Linked DNA regions of Coturnix japonica. Each later gene encodes a partner of the first gene's protein in a complex. Links are inferred from orthologs where the notes say so. Each region holds a gene or a part of one and is shown in the gene's direction. Other genes may lie near its edges.

Region 1 (11,638 bases):
TTAAACATCTACATGTTTCTTGAACTCCTGGAGGGATGGTGACACCACCACTTTCCTGGGCAGCCTGCTCCAATGCACAAACATTCTTTCTGAGAAGTCATTTTTCATAATATCAAACCAGAATATCCCCTGGCACAATTTGAGGCAATTACTTGTCATCCTATCACTGTTACCTTAGAGAAGAGGGTTACCCCTCTGCTTTCAGCTGTCACAAGGCAACAAAATGTGACAGGATAATGGTGGGAAGGTTCAGCCTCTACTGCCATCCCACTAACACCTGCCTCTGATGCTGTGGGCCAACATAATAGCATAGGAGGCATTATTTTCAGAGTAGCTCTCGTAGGCTAAGCGTGTGATAGCCACTGTATTTCAGTTTTAAGATTAGTAAACACTGTACTGCAAAACTTCTTTATTGCCAGGGGACCTCAATAATACATTAATTCTGTGTGTTTTCTGTATTACATGCTTCACAGACCATTGTAATGATTTCTACAAAGCAGCAGCTGTGCTTAATGTTTGAAAAAGGAGAGCCCATAAAACTGACAGAAAGAATCTTAAATTCATTTCTAGCTAGTCTCAGGGAAAAAAGAAGAAGAAAAAAAAGTTTTGCATTTTTCCTGATATTCTTCAAAAGGAGCTATTAAAGCTTTAAGTGAAAGTGAAATTCAAGATAACATTTATTCTGATATCCTTCAAACTCTCTTTGTCCTCTGGTCTAGCACATCAAGTTATCAAAAAATAAAGCTTTCCATTAAACTTCATCAACCTTTTCCCCAAAATCAGATAGCAGAGAAAAGAATGGATTGGTAAATCTCAGCCTTGTGCAATAACCATCTGTACATAAAAGCAAAGATCCAGCCTGGGTGCAGATACTGCAGGTGGTGCATGCTGTAGCAGGGCTGCAGGGAAAGCAATGTCAACCCCCAAAATCAGAATGCAGAAGGAGATTCACAGTTCAGTAGAAAACAGATGAAGAAAATATGGGAATGGTGTAAATTAGGATCCCTTCGTAGTTGCTGGCAACTAGAAGACCAGGAACAAAAGAACAGATGAGACTGTGAAAATTTGACTGGAGGCTGAAGGGATGGAGGTGATGCCCAAATTAAATCTGGGAGTCTTCATGGTAAAGTACAGTAAAGCTCTCCTGAAAGCTAAGTCAAATAGTAAAGTAAAGCTACAGTAAGGCTCATAAATTCTCTCTAAGTAACCTCAGATAATGCTTGTATCTTGTGTGTGCACAGAGGTGAGTTGGGCATTTGTGGAGTAGTAGTGAGAAATTCCTTGCACATCACCTCTTTTATCTGTACATGTATATCTTGTTATCCTTTTCCTTTTCCCTGTCTTAGTAAATCATCCTGTCCCAACCCATGAGTTCTACTTGGTGGGCTTCTTTTTTTTTCTTCTGATTCCCTCCTCCACCCCACTGGGAAGCTGGGGAGGAAGTGAATGACACTGTAGTGCTGAGCCACGTGCTGGGTTAAATCACAGCAGCTACACTGCAAGACAAAGATACATTAAAAAGCTGAGTAGAGTATCTCCCTTGGAAACACTACTTTGATGCTGAAAAGAAAACGCCAAATCACCACCACAGCAAAGTTGTTCAGGAAAGCAGGATCTAATCCAGTCTCCTTTCCTAGCTCCAATTTAGGCAGTTTTCTGCAGCATTTCAAAGGCACCGACATAAAAAGCTTCCTAAATATTTGAATATATGTTTCTCCTCAGAAGGACTTAGGCAGTAAATTCTTGCAAGTAGAAACTATCAAGTCAGATATGTATCAGAGGTTACCTCAGAATACCCTACATGTTACAGGACTTCCAATTATCTGAAACTGAATATAGCCTGATGTTCTAAGTGCCAACAAGTCATAGCAGATCTTGCCTGTTCTTTTTCTCTGGCTTAGCTATTACAGTGCTTTCTCAGAAAATACATTTGTTTGTTTCTGTGGTTTAAAAAAAAAAGAAAAAAAGAAAAAAAAAGGTAAAGGCAAACCACTCCCATGCTACATTACATACACTGCAAATATCTGAGCAAGCATGACGCTGCATTATAAAACAATAAAGCTTTAGCTTCAGTTCTTCGTGCAAAGCTGCCAAAACCCAGAAGAAGGTAAAAGGTTGGATGTGAAAAGTCATTGCACAGCAGAAAGACAATGTCACGTGCACTTTGTTGTCATTCTGAGAGGTTCACCTGCTCTGCTGAAGAAGCCTGCACAGGAATGGGTAAGGGGTAACTAAAACCTGCAGAGAAACACCTCGGCTGCCCTTCACTTTTCAGAAACATAAAATCTTAAGAACAGTTTCTGCTAAGAAAGAATAATTTAAAACCTACAGATTAGAATAAAGTTTGGACAATGAAAAACTCTGCTAGAGTTTCTTGAAGGACATGTTGCAATTTCTTTCTACTCACAAGACATTCTAGAGCTTCTTTCCATCAGGTTTTAAACTCTCATTGCTTAAAAATTGAAACAGTCCAAACACATGCTGCAGCATCATGAATTGCAAAATTCCATCAGAGCTGTTGAGACATACTGCAGATCAAGCACAGCAATGGTTTCACTTCCTTCACTTGCAGGAACGTGTCTGTTACTGCATCACAAAGAAATATTTCCTTTGCTTTATTTTCCAGTTGTCAAAACAAACTTTTTTTTTCCTTTTTAAAATTTTTTTGGAAGTTACGTTCAGCTTAGTTTTCAGCATGACTCCATTTAATTTAAAACCTAAACCTGACTACGTGAAGCAAGTTACTCTGTTTCAGAGGAAAGTGGGGCTGGCATCTGATCTTGTAAAATTACTGCAAGAACTTCAGGGTTTACTAAGCCTGTCAGCTGGATGTTCCTTCCCTCATTTCTATTGCTCACTATCCACTTCTACAAAGAATAAGCACCCCAGACCACTGTAGAGCTGTAATGACACAAGTTTTCCCCTTTCTGCTAGAGAGCTTTAAGTACATGTAAGGGAATTTACACACACACTTATGTGCCTGCAACTCCTCTGAGGCCACCTCCTGAATTTATGTAGTATTATAACTGCACATTCATTGCTGAGTAGGTTCCTGTTCAGGGATAAGTTCTTGCTCAAGAAACTCACTGCTCTAGGCTATATATGGTACCTGACACACATTTGCTATCTGCAGGTCTGAATATCAGAACTGCCAAACGTGTAATAATTAGAGAGGAAACAATAAAGGGAGAGTTATGAATGAGATTCTAAGGAATTACGATGGGACCTGTAAAAGTACAGAACAGTGACCAGTATCTGTTGTATCATTATTTACCATACACAACTTTAGACTGCAGAAAGTACCTGACAAAAAAGGTTCACCCACTCCCTTGGTACACAGAGAGCAGTGCAGTGAAGTATTTACTATTCAAAACAGTGAAAACAGGTGCATCCATGGTGTCATGGTTCAGCCCTGGCAGGCAGCTCAGCATCGCTCAGCTAATCACTTACTATTCCAGGTAGGATAAAGAGAGTGAGGAAGGTCAAGGGGTAAGATCTCATGGGTTGAGATCCATAGAGTTGGCTAGGTAAAGCAAGAACTGCATACACAAGCAAAGCAAACCACGAAACCCTGAGTAACCTGTGGTACAAAGTCCCAGGAAACTGAACCACTGCTTTCATGTGTGGATCTTAAATGCTCGTAATTGGTGCAAGACAATCTATACCTGCTTCAGACTGAGAATCTTCCTTTTTTTTTTTTCATTAACAATATTAAATCATATCAACCTACATAAATACAGCAAAGAGTAAGAGAGAAACAGGTCATTAATGCAATCTCCTGCAATATCCTAATAGCCAAATGATGAGATAAACTGGTACAAAAATGAGGTAAGACAGAGAACAATCTGGACTGCCACATCTGAAGCACTAAGGTCAGTGGTACAAGGTCAAAAGATTCCTTACAGATCCTATTTCCGGGTGTGCTGATCAGCAGCTGGCTATACGTAAGCCACCAGTGAGCTCAGATGGCCAAGAAGACCAATGGCATCCTGGCTTGTACCAGAAATAGCAAAGCCAGCAGGAGCAGTGTCAGGATGTGCAATGCAGGTCTCCTCTTACCTCAGCTTTGGGGGTGGAGACCCACAAGACCCGTGTGAGAAACAGACAAAAGAGGAGTCTTAAGGTGGCAGGATGTTCCTGTTTCGGTTGAAGAACAAACCAGATCATGGTTTCAACATAGAATCTTGAAGGCTGCGGTGTCCAGAATGAGAATGTTTCATTATCTGTGAAAATAATATTTAAGTTAATTCTTTGTAACTTGAATATGAGCTCTAAGAAGAATCTGCCTATAATACTCGACTTTCAATCCAAGTATTACTAAGGTTAGGAAAATATTTTTGGGAAGCATGGGGGACTGGAAAGGGGGAGGGAAAAGAGAAAAGAGGCTAAATGACAGAAGCAAGAAGAGAGACAGAACACACAGGAAACTGTCCTTCTTCCAACACAATAGAAGTGCCTTCCTGGTAAGCCCTGTGACCATAACTCTTGGTGAAGAACACACAGGATAGCATTTATTTTGCTAACACTGTTATCATACATTAGTACAATTGCACCTATTATATGTACCATGGGTGGTCCTGTATCTGTTGTATCTGTCAGTTCAACAAATGGTCTGTTTTTTAAATGCTTTTGAAACTGTTCCAGTGAAAGTGCTTAGGGGTGCTCTGACACACAAAGTGCCACAAGGGGAGATTTACAGCCTTCCATGGCTGCTTATTAATGAGAGTACAGAGAAAATGGAAACCAGCCCATCTGAGGGGAGTCACATGGCAGAGGAGTAAGTCTGCAAAACAGGAATTTCTAGTGAGATGCAGAAAGTCCATAACTTGACAGGCTTGTGATCAGTTTGGTTTGTCTGGCTTGGTTCTGACCTTGTGCTGAGGCTAGAAGACTTCCAGAAATGCCTATGAACTTAAATTATTCTATAACTATGACATAATGGAAACTTATACTCACAACTCATACTTTGCTCCCTGTATAACAAAGAGTGCTTGCTTGGTATAAGCAACTGCAAACACTAACACACTGTGAACTAAAACAAGTGTTAGGGGCAAGGAAACTTGTGGCCTCATATTTATTTTAATTGTTTTTATTTATTAAAAGTTTCTACATGAAACTTCTCAAATCAGCTAAAGAAACAGAAAAATCCCATGGGAAATTTACTCTAGCAGCACACGCTTTAATATTTTCCATCAGAACCAGGTCCCAAAAGAAAAAGGAACAATTATATCTTCTATATAATCAACAGCATTTATAGTGCGATTTTCAAAGAAACCCCAAACCATTAAAATTACAACATTTGTCTACCTAAGAGGCGTTGTTCCATTTCACATAAAATAAAAGGTGTTGTAGTACCAAAATAGAACATTTTTGTCTCTTTATCTACTGCAATGTGCCTTCAATTCTTATGAGGTTCAACACCTACCAGTGAGAAAAATGAAAAGATAAAAAACCAAGAATCTTTCAGAATCTTTCATATCACTAACTAGTCAGTGGTTTCCCACAGATCAAGTACATACAGGAAACTATCCACACAATATTTACACACAGAAGTTACAGAGCTAATAATTGGAAACACTAAAGCCCAACTGGCAAAGGAATACAGAGCTCTGTTCGTAACACAATGGTCTATTTTTACACTATAACAGCAGCTTCAGGGCAACAGAGCTCTGTTTGTAACACAATGGTCTATTTTTACAGTAAAACAGCAGCCTCAGGGCAACGCCTGCAGCTGAAGAACCCAGCCTAAAACGAACAGTGAGACTCCATTAACACCCACTCCACCTACCCTCAGGGGCGGAGATCCGCCATTTTTGTGCCTTCCCGCCCAGACATGGCAGGTCCTTCAGCCTGTGAGGCTGTCCTCCATACTCGCCTGACTTTATGAAGCCTTCCTCTCCGTCAAATAAACTCACTACATTCTTACTGTGCTCTATTTTTATTTATAAAGAACTCGTTAAGTGGGCTGAAAGTCTCTCTTCCCTTCACGGGGGGCAGTGGACCAGACAAGCCGAGATCTCTGCATCAAGGCAGAGTGTTGGACACCCATAGGCGGGCTCTTCCTCCAAAGGTCGCTTCCTCTCGGCGCCAAAATTCAAACGTTAGTTGCCGCCGTAGTTGTGCTGAGTGTGTGAAGGAGCTCCGCGGCTGCCAGCGGTTTAGCGAGGGCTTCCTTCGCTTCGTACGTGTGGTACGGCTTGGTACGTGTGGGGATGGCGGTTCGGTGGGGTACAGGACAGTCTCGGGTCTATGTCGGTTGAGGTGCGTGACTGTGTCTGCCCGGACCCCAGAGCGGTAGATGAGGATGTGTGGTGGGTGGGTGGGCTGTAGCCATAGGGATGAGCAGTGGGTGAAGTCGCTTTATTTTAATTGTACATATTGGAATGCTTGCTGGGTTTGCGGTCCTTTATGGTTTTCTGATAAAAAAAATGCTTGCTGTTTTGATTCTGATGTTCCCCTTTTCTTGTAGCTGTGTTAGGCATGCAGTACAGTTTGCTTCTTTTGTATGTGTGTTTTTATTTTATTTTTTTTTCTTTTTTTTTTTCCTTCAAAGCATGAAGTGTTATAATCCAGCCCTTAAATTGTGCCCTTGGGGGAAGCACCAACGCGGCCCTTTGACAGCTTAAAGAAGATGTACATCAAATCAATTATTCTTGAAGGATTTAAATCCTATGCTCAGAGGACAGAAATCTGTGATTTTGATCCATCGTTCAATGCCATTACTGGCTTAAATGGCAGTGGCAAGTCCAACATCTTGGACTCCATCTGTTTCGTACTGGGCATCTCCAATCTATCTCAGGTAAAGAGAGAGGGCGAACTTAACAGAGGTCGTCCTTACGTCATCAATCTTTCATTTTAGTCTCCTGAGAAATCTCTGGTGGAAGACCCAAAAAGTGTTATTTCTGTTAAAAACCTTTGCCCTCAGTTGATTTGCTTCCATCCTCCCCCCTCCCCAGTTCTAACTCTAGATTAATTCAACAGACTTCCAAGGAACACTTTAGTGCACTGCATGAGTAATGATGAATATTCTATCTGTGGAGGTATTAGTGACTGAGCTAATAATTTAGCTTTCTATTATTTTTTTCTTAAACACCCACTCTTTTTTATCAGAAATATCATGTAGAAACAAATGGCAAGTTCTAGCTCACTAAAACTTGAACATTCTGCTGTTGCAAGGAGCACCAGCGTCTTGCATCTCTGGTATCTCTCATTGCCCTGAATCTTCAGTGTTATAGACAGACCCACCGAATCCGTTCATTTTGCCAAAGCAGAATAACACAGCAGCTATTTGATTTCTTTCAGAAGTTCATTGATCTGTTCCATATATTTAGGTGCGAGCTTCAAACCTCCATGATTTAGTTTATAAAAATGGGCAAGCTGGAGTAAGTAAAGCAACCGTGTCTATAACATTTGATAATTCTGACAAGAAACATAGTCCACTGGGATTTGAAAATAGCAATGAAATCACCGTCACCAGACAGGTAAGCACTTAATGTGTGTAATTGTTTGCTCAGAAAACTATGTACATTTTTACTGTGCTTAACAAAGTGACCTTTCAGCAGGAAAATAAAGAGTTTTAAAAGTCCTTAAGTTTTTGCAACTGAGACAATGATTCTACAGTGTTGTTAGCAAAATGTGTAGAAGTGGAACCATTGTGCTAGGTTAAAAGTTGTAATTACTTGGGAAATAAGATTAAGATAATTAAATGCTGTATATCACTGGTGTTTTATGTGGAGCTGCACAAAAACATACTAGCAGTAGAATGTTCCTAAATAAATTCTAGCTTTCTATCTTGTGGCCTTCATTTCTGAGCTTTGTGGTAGATTCTGTTTACAAAACATGGAGCTTTTATAAGAAATCCTTCATAGTTGGGGAATTTCTTGTCAGTCTTGAACAAATCTTTACCGTCTGTAATTGATCTTATTTAAAGCTTCTATTAGGACTGAAAAGTTGTCTGAAAAATCTTTAAGGTCTATTGTTATCTTGGGCATGGTATGTGCACACAAAGCAGGAGTGTATGGAATTTTATTATTATTTTTTGATACATTTAATTATTTTGTCTTTTTGCAGTATCAAGCCACTTTTAAATCACTTGCAGCTTTTTCTCTTTCTTTTCCTCATCTAGGCTGTTGTTGGAGGTAGGAATAAATATCTTATCAACGGTATAAATGCTTCCAACAATCGTGTACAGGATCTCTTCTGTTCTGTCGGTCTCAACGTCAATAACCCTCACTTCCTTATTATGCAGGTATTATGCATGCCTTTCTAAAATTCAGAAAAATACAAATGACACTAAATTTGTGGAATAGCACTTTTTTTTTTTTTTATTAAATAAAAGGAACTTTCATGTGAAAATTGAACATTCAGAAGCTAAGATTTTTAGAGCAGCCCAGTATGACCCTGACTGAATTTTTAGCCCTTGCTTTCTTTCATCTCCTCATTTGTCTTACAGGAGGCATTTTCTAAGGCATATGCCAATTTTGTTTTCCTTCTGGTCTCTAAGAGATGTTTCCTATATTATTACATAGTAAAAAAGGGTGTTTTTCCTTATTTGCTGTGTTCTTTGTTAGACAGTATTTGGTATTAGTTAGTATGCTTGCTTTATTAAATCCCATTTAGAAAAAGATGAGCTGGCCACGTGAAAAGACTCTTGTAACCCTTAATAGAGAGACTAAATCAACCTTTTATAGATTTGCATGGAGTAACAAAATGGTAGAATTTACTTGCTTCAGATGGAGTTGTCCTAATTATTATATATATATATTTTTTTAAAAGGTCAGTTTTCATACCCTTTTTATTCCTCTTCCCTCCCCCCTCCCTTCACAAATGAGCCAGATTACCAAGCAACCATAATCAGGAAGTTACTTGAGATCAGAAAGTCAGTAAGACTGCCAGAACAAAATAAACACAGCATCACTTTCTTGGATGTGAGCAGCAATGCATGTAGAAGCTCTAAAGGCCATTTCAAGCTTGCTGTTTGAAGAAAGGACTTATTATTTGTTTGAAATTTAGAGAACAAAGCAATTTATTAAACTAACTTTGCAATAATAATAAAGAAAGGTTAGCAATTGGTGTTTAAAATGAGTATGGGGGTTTTAATTTATTTTTTACTACTATAGCATGGTACACAATTGTAATTTTCCTTTTGTCTTTCTTTAACCAGGGGCGAATTACTAAAGTTCTAAATATGAAGCCAACGGAGGTGAGAGAACTATGACTTATTTATTTTTTTCTTTCTGGATAAGAAAGTGTTATAGAGGGATAACATGTTAAGCTTGCTTTAGGTTGAACCAACTTGACATGATAAAAATCATTAAAACTCTGTCAAATTATTTTATTCTAGATTCTATCTATGATTGAAGAAGCAGCGGGTACCAGGATGTATGAATGCAAGAAAATGACTGCCCAGAAGACCATAGAGAAGAAGGAAGCCAAACTGGATGAAATTCGAAGGGTTGGTACTATATGTGGGAGTGTGTGCTTTATTTGCTAAAGATAATGGATTACTAGCACAGGGTGGGTTTTTTTTTGTTTTTGTTTTTACTTGTAAACTATTTCCTTTCTTTATATGTTTCTCTATGTGCAGATATTAATGCTACATGTGTTTTAAAAATCTGAATACCAATGTTCTGGTTTGTGTTTCAGATCATAACTGAAGAGATCAGCCCAAGTCTAGAGAAACTGAAAGAGGTATGGAATATTTGGAGAAGTGGTAAGAGGCTTTAAAGTACTGAAGAAATACTTTCAAATAACTTGAACTGGTATGTGGAAGATAGGACGTGATATTTTTTCAGCCTTTTTAGAATCTTTTAGGTGATGTAAAATTTATCACCTATCCAAATATAGACAGTGTGGTTTGCAGGAATTACAAGATATATGGGAGAGGGACATAGGGAACAATAAGCAAATGAGAGAAACAGAAAACATAGAAGTTAAATTCTTGTCTTAGTTGTTAAACTTGCCTCAGGTGGAGTTTCTGTTATACAATCAACTGCACTAGTACAGCTTCATCTAGAATTTTCTTAAGTAGGTTTGCAGTGTACAATACTGAACGTTATATATTATATTCATATTACATATAATATTCTATAACAGTACTACCCTAATTTTCTTTCACCCAATTTTAACCCTTATTTTCTTTCAACCTATATCTTTTCAGGCACGTGCATCGTATCTAGAGTACCAAAAAATAACACGAGAAATGGAGAATTTAAAACGCGTCTGTGTGGCTTTTCAATATATCCATGCTGAAGAGATAAAAGATCAGACTACTAACGCTTTAAAGGAAGCAAATGAAAATAAGAAGAAAAATTTGGAATTAATGGCTGTGAATGAGGAGAAGGTAAAGGAACTTGCACAACAAATAGAAGATATGGAAAAGAAAAACAATAAGGTAAGTGAGAACCCAGATACGCTCACCTGAAAGTCTTAATAGAAGGAAGTATGTGAGAAGAAAATTATTTTTGTAGATGGTATGCACTTAGATTTTACTCCTTCTATGGTGAATTGTTTAGATTATACACCGCTTACTCAATAGTAGTCATTCCCTAAACGGGGGTGTCTATAAAGTTTTAATGTCTGAAATACTGTATTTCCAACTGCTGTAAATCACAGAATATCCCAAGCCAAGAGAAACCTTCAAGGATCAGTTTCCTATTCAGTAAATTCCCAAATAATATCAACAATTTTGCCAGGCATTGGAGTGAGACTGAGTGATTTAAGATGATAACACTTTTCCCTCATATTTCTACTCTGTGTATTCAGTGGAAAACTTTATCTGATTTTTTTTTTTAATTTTTTTTTTTTTTTTTTTTTTTTTGTCCATTTCAGATGAAATGCACTTGCAGTGGGAAATACAAAAATCACTAGTGACCTCAGATACAGAGGTAGAAAAAGTAGTTATGTACTGAGTATCCCACAGCATCTTTTCATTCTTAAGTGCAACTCCTACACTTCCCCTGCAAGGACAGAGTTTCTCAGTAACTACAGTTGGGCTCTAGCAGTGGCTTCAAATTAGTACGGACTTCTGTGGGAAGAGGTTTTAGCCCATTTGTTTTGGAGTCTCTATCTGCTTCATCAGACATGCATCTCCTATGTATAGCTATGATCAGAAAATGAAATCTTAAATATTGGATAACAGTATACATAAAATTTCCATTGTTTCTGAATTTAGGAATTTGGTGCTAAGTTACAGTCGCTGGAAGCTGCTCTTTCAGAACTCCAAAGAGTTGATGCTAAAGTCCGCAGTGATCTTGATCACAAGAAGAAAAACTTAAGTGGTGAAAAGAAAAGGCATAAAGAATTGACTAAAGTCATGCAGGAGGTAAGCCCTTTGTTTATGTTATTCTTTTTAAGCACTGATGTAGTTCGGTGTGCATTGGGACAGCAGGTTTTTATTATCTTTTCAAGGTTGATGGGAAGGAATAGCAACAGGAGGGCAGAAACAAATAATAAGTGGTGTTACTTGATTTGTATGGCACAGTTAGTAGACTGCCACTAAAAACAAATAAGATGTATTTATGAAGGAAGTCCAGCTCTGCTGTTGACAACTTTGTTTTAATTTTGGGAGGAGATCCCAACTGCGTTCAGGAAACCTGCTAAACTTAAAGGAAAAACATCTACTTCATGCTCTTGACAT
Region 2 (11,092 bases), on another chromosome or scaffold:
GGGCCACCTTCAGGAAAAAAAGATAATTAATCTGGCAGACAACTTGTGTCCATTTAAATAAACCCATAAGGCTGTGAGTCCTATGGTGTTACCTTTCTGTCTTTCCTGGCACTGTTTTTTCCTCTGAAGTGATTTTTACTTCTTCCCTGCCTGTTCCAGCATGCTTTGTAGATGGGGTCCTTCCATTGGACATGGAAGCCAGTGAGCTGCTCTCAGATACGTTTGCTATCCTTAGTTGCAAAGAAATCAAGCTGTCGACTATGAGATCAAAACCTGAAGACGACATTCAGCCTGATGAAGATGAAATGGCAATGGCTAATGCTGTCATGCAGGCAGCACAAAAAAAGCTCATCTCACAGGTAAATGGCACTTGGATCTGGCTGGGAAGAGGACTGTCCACAGTGCTGAGAGGAGTTTTAGCTTTCTGTGTTGCAGAGACTTGGCAAGCATTATTCATGTATTGTTACCAAGGGCATGCAATACATATATGTTGTTGTTCAGGCTCTGGCTGTAGATCCACTCTGCCCTAAGGGCCTGTATGGAAGCACTGTGTATTGCGAAAACAAGATGTTAAGGCTAGATTTGTAACAGACCCTTGTGCTTGTGAGGGGTCAGTTGGAGTGATCAGAAATGCATTTCCTGTTTAAGAAAAGAAAAAGCAGCTTTAATTTGTTTAAATTGCTTCTACACGTCTCCTATTGTTAAAGCATCTGAGCCTAAATGGTTTTTGGTGCACCTTTAGACAATTTGCTTTCAATGTACGAGCAGACTCAGTGATCCATCTTGAAAGACTCCCATTTAGGTTAAAAGCCTAACCTGTACACGTGCAGTATAAAAGTGGGCTTAATTGTGATAATTCCTATGCTATGAAGCAGTAATTCCTTTCACTTAGCCCATTCATGTAACAACAGAGTGATTTCTCCTTTGTTGCATCTCGTAACTGTTTGTGCCTTGTTTAAACAAAGGTTCAAAAGAAGAATTTCATAGAAAACATCATCCCAATAATCGCTGAGCTGAAATCTTTGATGGAGCGGAAGAAGATCCCAGCTCTTAGGGACCTTATGGTCTACTTACGGGTAAGGAGGAGTGTTCTCTTGTTGGCTTTTTTTCCCCCTCTTAACTTAATGTGTTAGGTACATAACCAGTAATGGAGCGAACAGCCTTCTTAGAAGGAAATTTGGAAGGCATATGATGTTGTGACACTGCCACTGTGTTAAATAAAGCAGGAGGTGGAGGGATTTTAGATTGGGATCTCACAGTGTGTTACGTGTGAGCCTCCTCATGGAATGTGGGCAGAAAGCTTGAATGCTGGAAAGGTTTTTCATGTTCTGAAGTACAAATTGGAGTTTAAACTCTTAGTCTGTTAAAAACACCTCTGCTCTACCAACTGGTATTTCCTTTTGCACTTAAGCAGCTGTGATCTGAATGGAGACATGAATCAGTAGTCAGGAGAGATTTCTGAAAGGGTTTAAATATTCTCTATTGCTATAGGAAATGATGCAAGACTACCGAAATGAAATCAAAGAATTCTTTGCTGTGGACAAGCAGCTGGCAGCCGAATTGGAGTATGATATGAAGAAGTATGAAGAGCAGCTGGAAAAGGAAAAGTCAGACCATGAGCAAGTCTCGCCATCGCAGGCAGAGGTTGGTGGGGCTGTTAACTCTGTATGCCTTCTGACTGCTCTACAGAAGTCTATACAAAAATTATACAAATAACACCTAAATTCTGTACATCTGTGGATGTTGTAACATTCTCATACTTCTGTGCATCTGCTGACCGAGGCTTTGGTTTCAAACTCATTTAATGTTAGAAAAGCAGCAAACAACACACGTCAGCCAAAGGCAAGTAGCAAACAATTAATATAAAAACAATTCAACTTAAAAGGAAGTCTAATTTTCCACTGTTGGTGCTTATGTGCTGTATCACTCTGTTTCCAGAGTGATAAAGATGATAAATGGGTCAAAAAGAAAAGGGTTTATTTTGGCTGATTTTATACTTAAATGGAATGGAAACTTATATCTGTGCTGGTCATGCAGATCTTTTTTTAGAGTCGGCGTGCTTGGCTCAATTGTCCCAAATCATTTTAGATACCTACCTTAAAATGAAATGACTTTTACCCTGGCAGCTCCTTTCTTTTTCTGCTGACCTACAGAAGCACCTATATATATATAGACCTTTAAACTAGAATATACATATCCCATCATAACTTACTATTTGCTGCTCGTTATAATTTTGACCATCCATTTAAGTCCATCACACAAAGGATTCAATCACACAGCAAGCTGTTCTGGATGTCTCTTATCTAGAGTTGTCTGCACTTAGTCTGTTTTTAGATTTGCTCTTTCTTTCCTTTCTGCAGCAGCCTCCATCTTTGGAGATGCCGTTACCTTCTGGTGCCCGGAGTGATAATGCCCAATCCCCTGTTGCTGGGAGGCAAATCTCATCCCTTGGGTCACTTCCATTCTCTTTGCCTTCTGAGTTTACTACACCTAGAACTGATGTTCCGAAGCAGCCCTTATATGGTCACAGGTATGGGTTTCTTTATATTACAGGTTGCAGTTCTGCAGGCCTATTCCTTTGTTTGTCTGTTCTCTCTTAGTGGTGTGAAATTCACAATGTGAAATCTATGTTTGGTCCTGAGATTGTAAGGGGTTGGGAGGGAGCAGGACTCTTCCTCATGTCATGCTTTTCACCTTGGCTTGCAGCAAGAAGTCACTTCAGTGTTACTGTCTGTCTTTTGCCCTGTAGGCCGGCATCCTTGAGCACACTTGCCATCCTGAACTCTGCCTCGAGAGCAGTAAAGGCCAGAAGCAAGCAACGCAGCAAGAGTGCCGGGGGAATTTTATCAGCTCACTCGCTTCCACCAAGCACAGCTAACAGCAAGCAAGGTAGAAAGATTGCTGCAAACTGGTTCAGTGTCGGCCTGGGTCTAGTTGACACAGCATGGTTGTTAGACCCAGGAGGTCTCTGAACATTTCTATTCTTCTTTTCTTGTTATATGTAGCTTCTTTTCAAAGCATGAATAAGCTGTCTACTGGAGCACACGTTCCTGTGGGGGGCCGTGCAATCAGCACACCAGAACGTAAGTAATCCAACAGAACTCTTTCAAATTGGGCTGAGCACTCCTTCTGTAAGAGAGGTAACAATGTGTGGCTTCCCTGAAGAGCAGAGGAAACTAGTCAGGATTAGCAATAGATAAATAGAGAAATATGGCTGTGGTAAATCAGAATTACTCTGAAACTGAAGGTCTCATGGGAAAGGATGCTTCAAATATGGTTTTCATTTATACATCACAGGGTGTTACGTATTGAATCAGTGCATGAAAACATTTTCAGCAGCCCAAAATAACAACGAACCCACTGCCCTTTCTTCTTTTATCAACTGAGGATTGCTGAGAAGGCATGTTGTTATAATTCCTTAGCAGGTTACGCTGCCCAGGCTGTGCAGGATTCTGTTGTCCCTTAATACTTAGAGTGTAGCTTAGCATTGAATTACAGAACCCTGCTGCAGGGGGAAATACTCGGGGTTCAGTCCTTTTCAGCTGTACAACAGGAGATTCTTTTGTCCAAACAAAAGATCCCAGGTGAGTTGTGACCTGCTTCTGTCACTAGAGCATGCAGTGAGCTGTGTCAATTGAGATACCACGGAGATCTGCTCAAGGAGGATTAATAACCTGCACAGTCATTTCTGATTGTTCTGCCCTAAGGAAGAACTGAACTGAGCTTTAGAGAAGGAATGATGTAGTTGTTCTTTTTTTTTTGACTCTGCTGTAGGCATTAAAATGAAAATACATAATGATGAATCTCTAGTACACAAATTGCGAGTCTGCTGTGCTTATATCCACTGCAGCCGAATTGCCATCTCACAGAAGCTGACCTTCAAAAGCTATGCCTTTTTGGAATGGGTTTTTTTCCTGACAGCATTCTGCAGTCTTACAAATGAAGCTGACTTTCAGCAGATTTCCTTGCTATATGTCAGTTTGTGGACACATTAAACTCCTTTAGGTCTCTGTTTCTCATTACACTAAACTTCCCCTGCTCAGGAGTGAACTCCAATTAAGTTAGGAGTCCAGGTGAGCATCTGACAGGTCATTGTCATTAGGCAGTTGTCCATGTTTGTGGGGCAGTGATGATGATCTAGAAATGCAGGTATCTGAGTGTGGGTTTGTTTTCCTTTTGCCTGTGTCTGTGTAAATACTTGACCTGCATGCACACAGGAGAGCCAGCGGCACGTAGCCAATAAGGCAGTGAGCTGTGTGGGAGTCTGCAAATACCTGACATCCGCGAGCAGGCAGGAGCAAAGCAGTGGCAGTCATGTGCATCCACTGGAAAATCTGGCCCTTCTCCTCCCTGTACGCTCCACTGTTTGGCTCGATTTGTCTGTCTGGATGTTTCTCCTTGCTGGCTGAACAGCAGGCAATGATCTTTGTGCAAAAAAGAAACTGGGGTATGTTTTTAGAGAGCGGAGATCTTTAATTGCCATATCTCTGTCTGGAAGCTTGCATGGCTGTTTCTCTTCAGCATAAGCACCATATGGCATGCAAGGAGGAAGAATGTTAATCTGCAGTGGTACTAAGGCTGAATTCCTACTTAGTTTCAAGGCAGCGTGCATCCTTTGGTGAGGAGACAAACTGTATGAAGCAGTATCGTTTTGGTTACTGTGTTGAACCATCTGCATGGTGCTGCTGGGTCTTGCAGGCTGACAGACAATCAAAAGGGAACATTTTCTTTTCCCCCCAGGTACGTTGTTCTAACACTGTTGGAGCTGCAGCTCTTTGTAAATCATTTTGTACTTGAGAACAACAGCTGTCTCTTTATCTTACTCAACCGTCCTGTCAGTCTGTCCCCTCTGTCTGTCACCTCCTTATCTCTCCTGCTAATTACTTTGAGAATGGCTGAGTGAGTCTGGACAAGTGTAGATTTATTCACTGTGATACATAAACACATGTTTTGAAGATAATACCTTTCTTTGATTGCGAGGGAAGCCTCACTTGATGGCAGCTCTGTAGCAGAGTTTCCATTTCCTACTCAATAAAGCATTCTCTACTGTAATTCCTTGTGAAGGTTTCTGGGAAACAGGAGCGTAAAACAGAGAGCTGAGAGAAGAAAAATCTGAATACTGTGACATCTCTCCTGAGATAAATGACAGGAAAGTGACAGCTGACAAGCATGGCCTGTTCAGGCAAGCTAAATTCTACCTAGCTTCCCTGTCAAGTGATTCCTTGTCTGGCTGCAAACAGTTCCTTTTGGAAGGGCTGATCAAATCCTTTGTCAGCCTTTAAGGGCCCTATTCTGCCTTGTTTGGGCCATGTAACCAATCTGACTGTGGTGCTGAGGGCAGTTCATGAGGTGCTGTGCCATCATCATTATGGATGGTGGCTAAGCTGCAGTGGGAGGTGTGGCTCTAGCACCTAATGCAGGACAAGGAGGTGCACCATCCATGTCCCACATGTAGATTAGTTTCCTCCACACACAGGGAAGGCTGTAATTCAGGAGTATGAACCTGATGTACACAGATGACCCATCAGATTCAGCGCGTTGATTTGAGGCTGATGGAGAGGCACTGAGATCTGATGGGTTGGAGAAGAGAGATGCTCTGCCTAACTGCTTGCAGTGAACTGGATATACTTATTCAGTGTAACACCTGGGTGTTGCACTGCAGCTTGTCTTCCCTCTGGCTGTGTCACAGACAGCTGGCTCACGTGTATTTTTTTCTTTCAGAGACCATTAATGACTTGACTTTTGGTGCTGGGGTCAGTTGCATCAGCTTGACACACACACCTGGTTCCGCTCAAGGCAAGTTACCCACAATTCTATCTCAAAGTGAGGGGATAAAAACCCAAATGATCGAATCTGTGGCATGTTAAAAACATGAAAATATGTGCATTATTTGCAGAGAATAAAGAGGCCGAGGAGCAGTCGGGAGATATTATTTGTTTGACATCACCAGACAAACTGTAAGTTCAATCTAGATCCGAAACAGTGACCACAGTGAGAAGGAATGCTGGAGTGCTTTAAAATACATGACGACTTTGTTTCTTCCTAGACCATCCGTGCCACGAGAGTGGAAAGTAGAATCTCCAGCAAGGAGAAAAAGCAATCAGAAGGTCCCTCTGAGACGATCCCAGCGGAGGACTCCTCTGAAAACAGAGAACTGATCCTTACCATGAACTTTTACGCAGAATCTTCATCATGTTGGGGGAAATCTGTCCTTTGATCCGTAGTGACAAATCACTGTGGACAAGTGTCCTTCCTTACCTGTTTTTCTTCACATTTTACGTGTCTGGAGTATGGATACGCAAAGTGTGTGTTAACATATATATTATATTATAAACTGCTGCTGCTGTTGGCAAAGCTCAGTGAAGTGAGGAAGTGCGAAAGCTCTAGTATTAAGGGAGGCTTGCAATTCATTCACAGGATGTATAATTTGTCCATTTGGAAAAGTACGAGCATAATGTTGCTACGAGCTTAGCACTAAGCGCGTTTTATCGCAGTGTGCAGGAATGTGAGTGGCTCGGCTTATTCACTCAGTCCCTCATTGTCCCTCTTGGTGATACACATGAATTACTTTAATTTGAACAAAGGTAGAACAGCTTGTCACTGCCACACCCCTAGATCTGGTAATTGCATGCTACATCACCTCTTATTTGTTGTGCAGACTCCTGCGTGTGTGAACAACCTTCACGTCCTTTTATATGGAATATTTCCATTCTTGAACTGTGCAATTTCCAGTTATTAAGATTTTATGAAAATAAATGGTTATAGAATTAATTCCACCCACAACTTCTCCCTTCTTCTTGATCTAACAAATTATTGCCACATCCTGCTTTAACTTGCTAAAATCAAGGCTGGTAAGTCATGTATGTACGTACCTTTGTGCTCTGTCTAGAGGCCTTGTTTATCACCAGTGTGCCTGGTGAATGCTGGGTTCTGAACGCTCCTGCCTCCCTCTGATGCCATGTAAGCCTAAGTGAAGCTTTTCAGTTGTTAATTTGTATTACAGAGCTCTTGCCCTGGATTTCACTGCAACTGGAAAATGGGACCTTACCAAAGGCGCAGATCACAGCACAAATGGAGCCAAGGAGGCTTAGTGCCTCTGTGCCAAAGCCCTTCCAGAGTCACTCACCTTCTGCACTGGAATCTCCTTGTCTGCTCTCACTTTCCTTATTGAAAGAATAGAGAAGCCTTCAAGTGAGGTTAAACTTTGTTCTCAAAGTCAAAGTGAAAACCTGAGAGCAGGAGATGCGTGGAATGGCTTTGGCTCAAGCAACGGTTAATTATGGCTGCGTCCATTTATTTTGTTGTTCTCCTCCATTAAAGTATTACTTAACTGCTTTGCATGTTATCTTGCTCTGATTCCAATTTTATCTCCTAATTTGTGCTTTGTAGCTCTTGCTCTGTCCCACAAAGATCAGCCCTGTGAGCTCTGATCGGCCTCCTATAGAAAGAACCAAGGACCACGAACTGATGGACCATGAACTGATGAACATGAATGTGCATTGGACTTCCTGCAGCCCAACTCAAGTGAGTGCTCTGAGAGAGAACTCTTCCACTGAATTCAAAGCAGAAGCCAGCAATGAGGTTACTTGATTTAAGAACAAGGAAAAACCCACAAGAACGCTTCAGAGCTCAGGTATTTATGTAAAACATTCTTGGCAAAGTTAAACGTCATACATTAGTACAAACCTAAAAATTATTCACAATGATCCAAGTTCCATCCATCAGATCTCATGAGCTGTGCTTTGGGGGTCGTCTTCCCCTCCTCTCGTTAGAGATGCCACTGTCACATTGCAGAACTGAATGATAAGTTGTGATTCTTAGTTTGCAGGCTTCCCCCATGAAGGCTGCCTTTGGCTCATAGCAAGGCTGTAGATTGTACTCTCAGAGCTACCCTGGTTCAGCCATTTACCTTCTCTCCTTTATTATGAGGATCCTACAAGCAGCACAGAAGGGTGGATGTACAGAAAGTGCAAAGGAATGTTACGCTCACTGCTGTTGTAATGATGAGAGGCAGCGTGCAGTGAATGCCACTGTGTGCCCATCTTAGGAAGGCTGCCAAAATGGAGTTGAAAAACAGCCACGTCTTGGTTATAGAAAGAAATCGCTGCCTTGGCTTTAGTTTTGCTTTCCTTAGCAAAAGGAAAAGTGGTAATGTTTAATCTAAATAGAACAAATGCAGTAATGGCATGTCCAGCGAGGCCCCTAGCAAACAAAGCAGATGAATGCAGAACGCTAAAACAAAATAACACTGACAGTCCAAATCATCAAGTATTCAAAACGCTGCCTACGGGGAGAGTGAAGACAATTCATATTGGAAATACAAGAACACTCAATTATGCTACATTTAAAAAGAAAAAAGTTCTTCAACCACAGCACAGTCCTAGTGTTGCATCCACATCTTGCAGCTCTATGCAACCCAGTGTTGGAAAGCAGTATCAACTCATGCATCAACATGAGTTTCCATTTCTTCTCTTTAACGCAAAGAGAATTAGATCGCTTTCTTTTTATTGGTTTCTTTTTTCTCTAGCTGGTAAAAGTTGCAACCAACACTACAAAAGTGCTTCTGTGTTGACCTTTTGCTTTCCCAACTCCAGAAGCAGTTGCTTGGCTATGCATCTAAACCTGTAACGTTGCCACAGCTGTCCCAGCACCATGTTAGTGCCTCAGGGAATTTGCAGAGGGGGGTTGAGCAAACATTAAAGTCACTCTGTCACCTTGTTGGAACTGAATCCCAACAGCCATCCCTGGGTTATTTCTTGCGACACCAAAAACAAAGCGTTGGTCGCTGGCAAGAAAAGTTCAATGTATAAAAAAGTCGATAGGTCCCGCTATAGATCTACAAAAACGATCCCTGAGTGACTCTGTTCTGGGTCTTGTAAGACCTCACGTGGCAAGGAAATAGCTGAGGGGGGCTGAGGAGGGAAGAGATGCTGTTGTACCTGCAGCTCTGTATTACACTGCAGTAACACCGAGCTGCTCTGACTGTGCCATAGTACAGCAACGTCTGAGCTCTCCTCTGTATCTTGGGAAGTAAAAAAATAGCCACGTTACTTAAACACGGCTGGCATCACGTATTTACACTTGAAATAGAAACGTTACCTTTTCTGAAGTAATCAAAATAGATCTTTGCAAAAAAATTTAGGATGTGGGGTTTTACAAAAGAAAAGGAGAAGGTTAAAAAGAGAAAAGCTCACAAACATCTCAGTACCTTTGCTGGGCCTTTGGGCCCATAGAAATATTTGGCTTTGATTTTCCTGTAAGGGCTAACTTAGCACACTGGGTTCTGTGCCTGCACTGTGAGCCTCAGTAAGATGCAAGAGGGAAGCCTGCTTTGTGCAGATTACAATGTGGGGTTACCTGTAAAGCAGTGAGCAGCAGCAGCCCTTCAGCCTGATGCTGCCCGTGTTTCTTGTTAAACAGAGCAATGAGGGCTCAATAAGCAACAAAAAGGGCTGAGAACATGAGTTGTGTTTGCTGTACGTGTGTCTGTCAACTAGTTGGGTGCCTGTTCACACCTGAATGGTCATAGAAGCACAAGATAATCACAAGTCACAACCTGGGCAACAAACTGCTGCGAGGACTTTCCCTTTGCATGGGTAAATGGGTAACACTTACTCTTTGCAGTCCTATTGCTGTATCAGCACCTTTTGATCCTACTAGTAACTCATCCTAGTAATGTCTATGTAATGCTGCTCCCTGGTTGCTTTGCACACTGTGGCCGTGTCCCTGCAGCACAAAGAGAAGGCAATTCCACAGGCTTCCATAGCACAGTCTCTTGGGAAGTATTTCCCTTCCTTACTCCAAGGTTTAAGGGATCCTGTTGGTGTCTCCGGAGTCAGAGAGATGCAGGTTGGGCAGTGAGGAGTTGCTTTAAACTTTGGCAAAGAAAACAAAAAGATCTACAGCTAGCTATCGAGTTCTTGTGTGTTCCAAACTCTTCCAAGCGCACTTCATTCATCTTTTGCTCTGGCTTCGAGTTCCTGGAGGTATTTGCACACTTTGCAATTTTCTTTTGGCATCTTAGATGACAAACGAAGACTTGTGCCTGAAGTCGCCCTGCAACCAAACAGTTGTGGGTGTGGGATGGATGTGGTGGCATTGCAGGCTCCCCTTATTTCCTGCTGCCCACAAAAGGCATCAGCTGTACCAGATGAGTGCTCCCTCTTTCCTTCTATCATAGCACGGTGTGGCACAGTGCTTCCTCATTCCCTATCTCTGCTAATAGGGAGAGGCTTTTTCTCATCCTAAACCCAGCCATCTATTCAAATCCCAAAAAACTCTCACTGCCTGCCCATTTAATCCAATGAAACTCATCCTAAGATGGGGGGGGGGGGGGCAAGCTATAAGAGAACTGAGACAGAGCAGAGCTGTGTTCTATAGCTTTTTTGGCATCAATCGCTTTGAGCAACTTCAGCTGCTCATCATTCCTAAGGAAATGACTCAGCCTTTAGCCTTCTGTTTTCTCCCTGTTTGAAATCCTTGTTTCTCAGTGGTGTTTGCTCTTAGAAAGTCTATAGGCCCTAAAAAAGAAACCCACCCTGGTAGTGCTCTGCCCACCCTCTTCCTCTCCAAAGCAGAGAGATGTTAAATGCAAATCGATGGTTACCTCATCATCTGTCCGGATGTAGTTAACACAGTCGGGTTTTGCTGGAGTCTTGTAGCTGAAATAAAGGAAAAGATCTTATTTCTGGGACAGGGAGTCTGTAGGATTCGAAGGGAAGAGGTTGGATTTGGACTTGGGGGGCAGAATGGGCTGAATGGAGTTGGGGGACAGAAGGAGGACTTGAGGGGCAGAGTTAGAGGTCTGGACTTGGGGGAAAGGAAGGAAACAAGGAAGAGCGGCCCAGAGAACAGAAAGCAGAGCGAAACCTCACATGGAACAAATGGATCTGGTGAGAATCCTATTTACATCCATCATCTCTTCCTCAGATTCTGCAAGAACACTGAGGCTTGTTTCTGATCTGTGGGAAATTCCCACCTTCAAGTGCTAATGCTGTTGTTTTTAACATTCTAAAAGGCTTGTTTTTAATCCCAAATTTAGGCTCCAAGTCACAGCTAGCACGATTTCCTGCAGAGAGCCAACTCTTCAGCA

What was found.
Region 2: the proteins of SMC2 (region 1) and NCAPD3 are in contact, whole or in part, in a cryo-EM structure (PDB 9F5W), measured with the Homo sapiens proteins. The link is inferred for Coturnix japonica from reciprocal best matches to the Homo sapiens genes SMC2 and NCAPD3. Residues at the interface, in NP_001036015.1 of Homo sapiens: Arg112, Ala122, Asn123, Asn124, Thr125, Arg126, Leu218, Lys222, Arg225, His229, Trp940, Asn942, Ala943, Glu944, Phe948, Arg981, Met985, Arg986; in NP_056076.1 of Homo sapiens: Asp31, Met72, Ile80, Pro127, Gly128, Ala131, Phe135, Pro137, Asp141, Lys235, Gln237, Gln240, Leu1121, Asn1196, Asn1200, Pro1203.

The regions. Positions count from the first base shown.
Region 1 is NC_029547.1:59,016,985-59,028,622, reverse strand, and holds the start of SMC2 (structural maintenance of chromosomes protein 2), read left to right. Parts: upstream 1-6,051; 5' UTR 6,052-6,200; intron 6,201-6,553; 5' UTR 6,554-6,631; coding exon 6,632-6,799; intron 6,800-7,331; coding exon 7,332-7,481; intron 7,482-8,125; coding exon 8,126-8,248; intron 8,249-9,163; coding exon 9,164-9,202; intron 9,203-9,343; coding exon 9,344-9,454; intron 9,455-9,645; coding exon 9,646-9,690; intron 9,691-10,159; coding exon 10,160-10,393; intron 10,394-11,173; coding exon 11,174-11,323; intron 11,324-11,638. UniProt on the Homo sapiens protein: Central component of the condensin complex, a complex required for conversion of interphase chromatin into mitotic-like condense chromosomes.
Region 2 is NC_029539.1:2,112,785-2,123,876, reverse strand, and holds the end of NCAPD3 (condensin-2 complex subunit D3), read left to right. Parts: intron 1-159; coding exon 160-359; intron 360-965; coding exon 966-1,076; intron 1,077-1,491; coding exon 1,492-1,644; intron 1,645-2,360; coding exon 2,361-2,530; intron 2,531-2,749; coding exon 2,750-2,889; intron 2,890-3,005; coding exon 3,006-3,083; intron 3,084-5,721; coding exon 5,722-5,796; intron 5,797-5,896; coding exon 5,897-5,957; intron 5,958-6,046; coding exon 6,047-6,158; 3' UTR 6,159-7,340; downstream 7,341-11,092. Other genes in the region: JAM3 (junctional adhesion molecule C), read right to left, coding at 10,021-10,056, 10,607-10,661.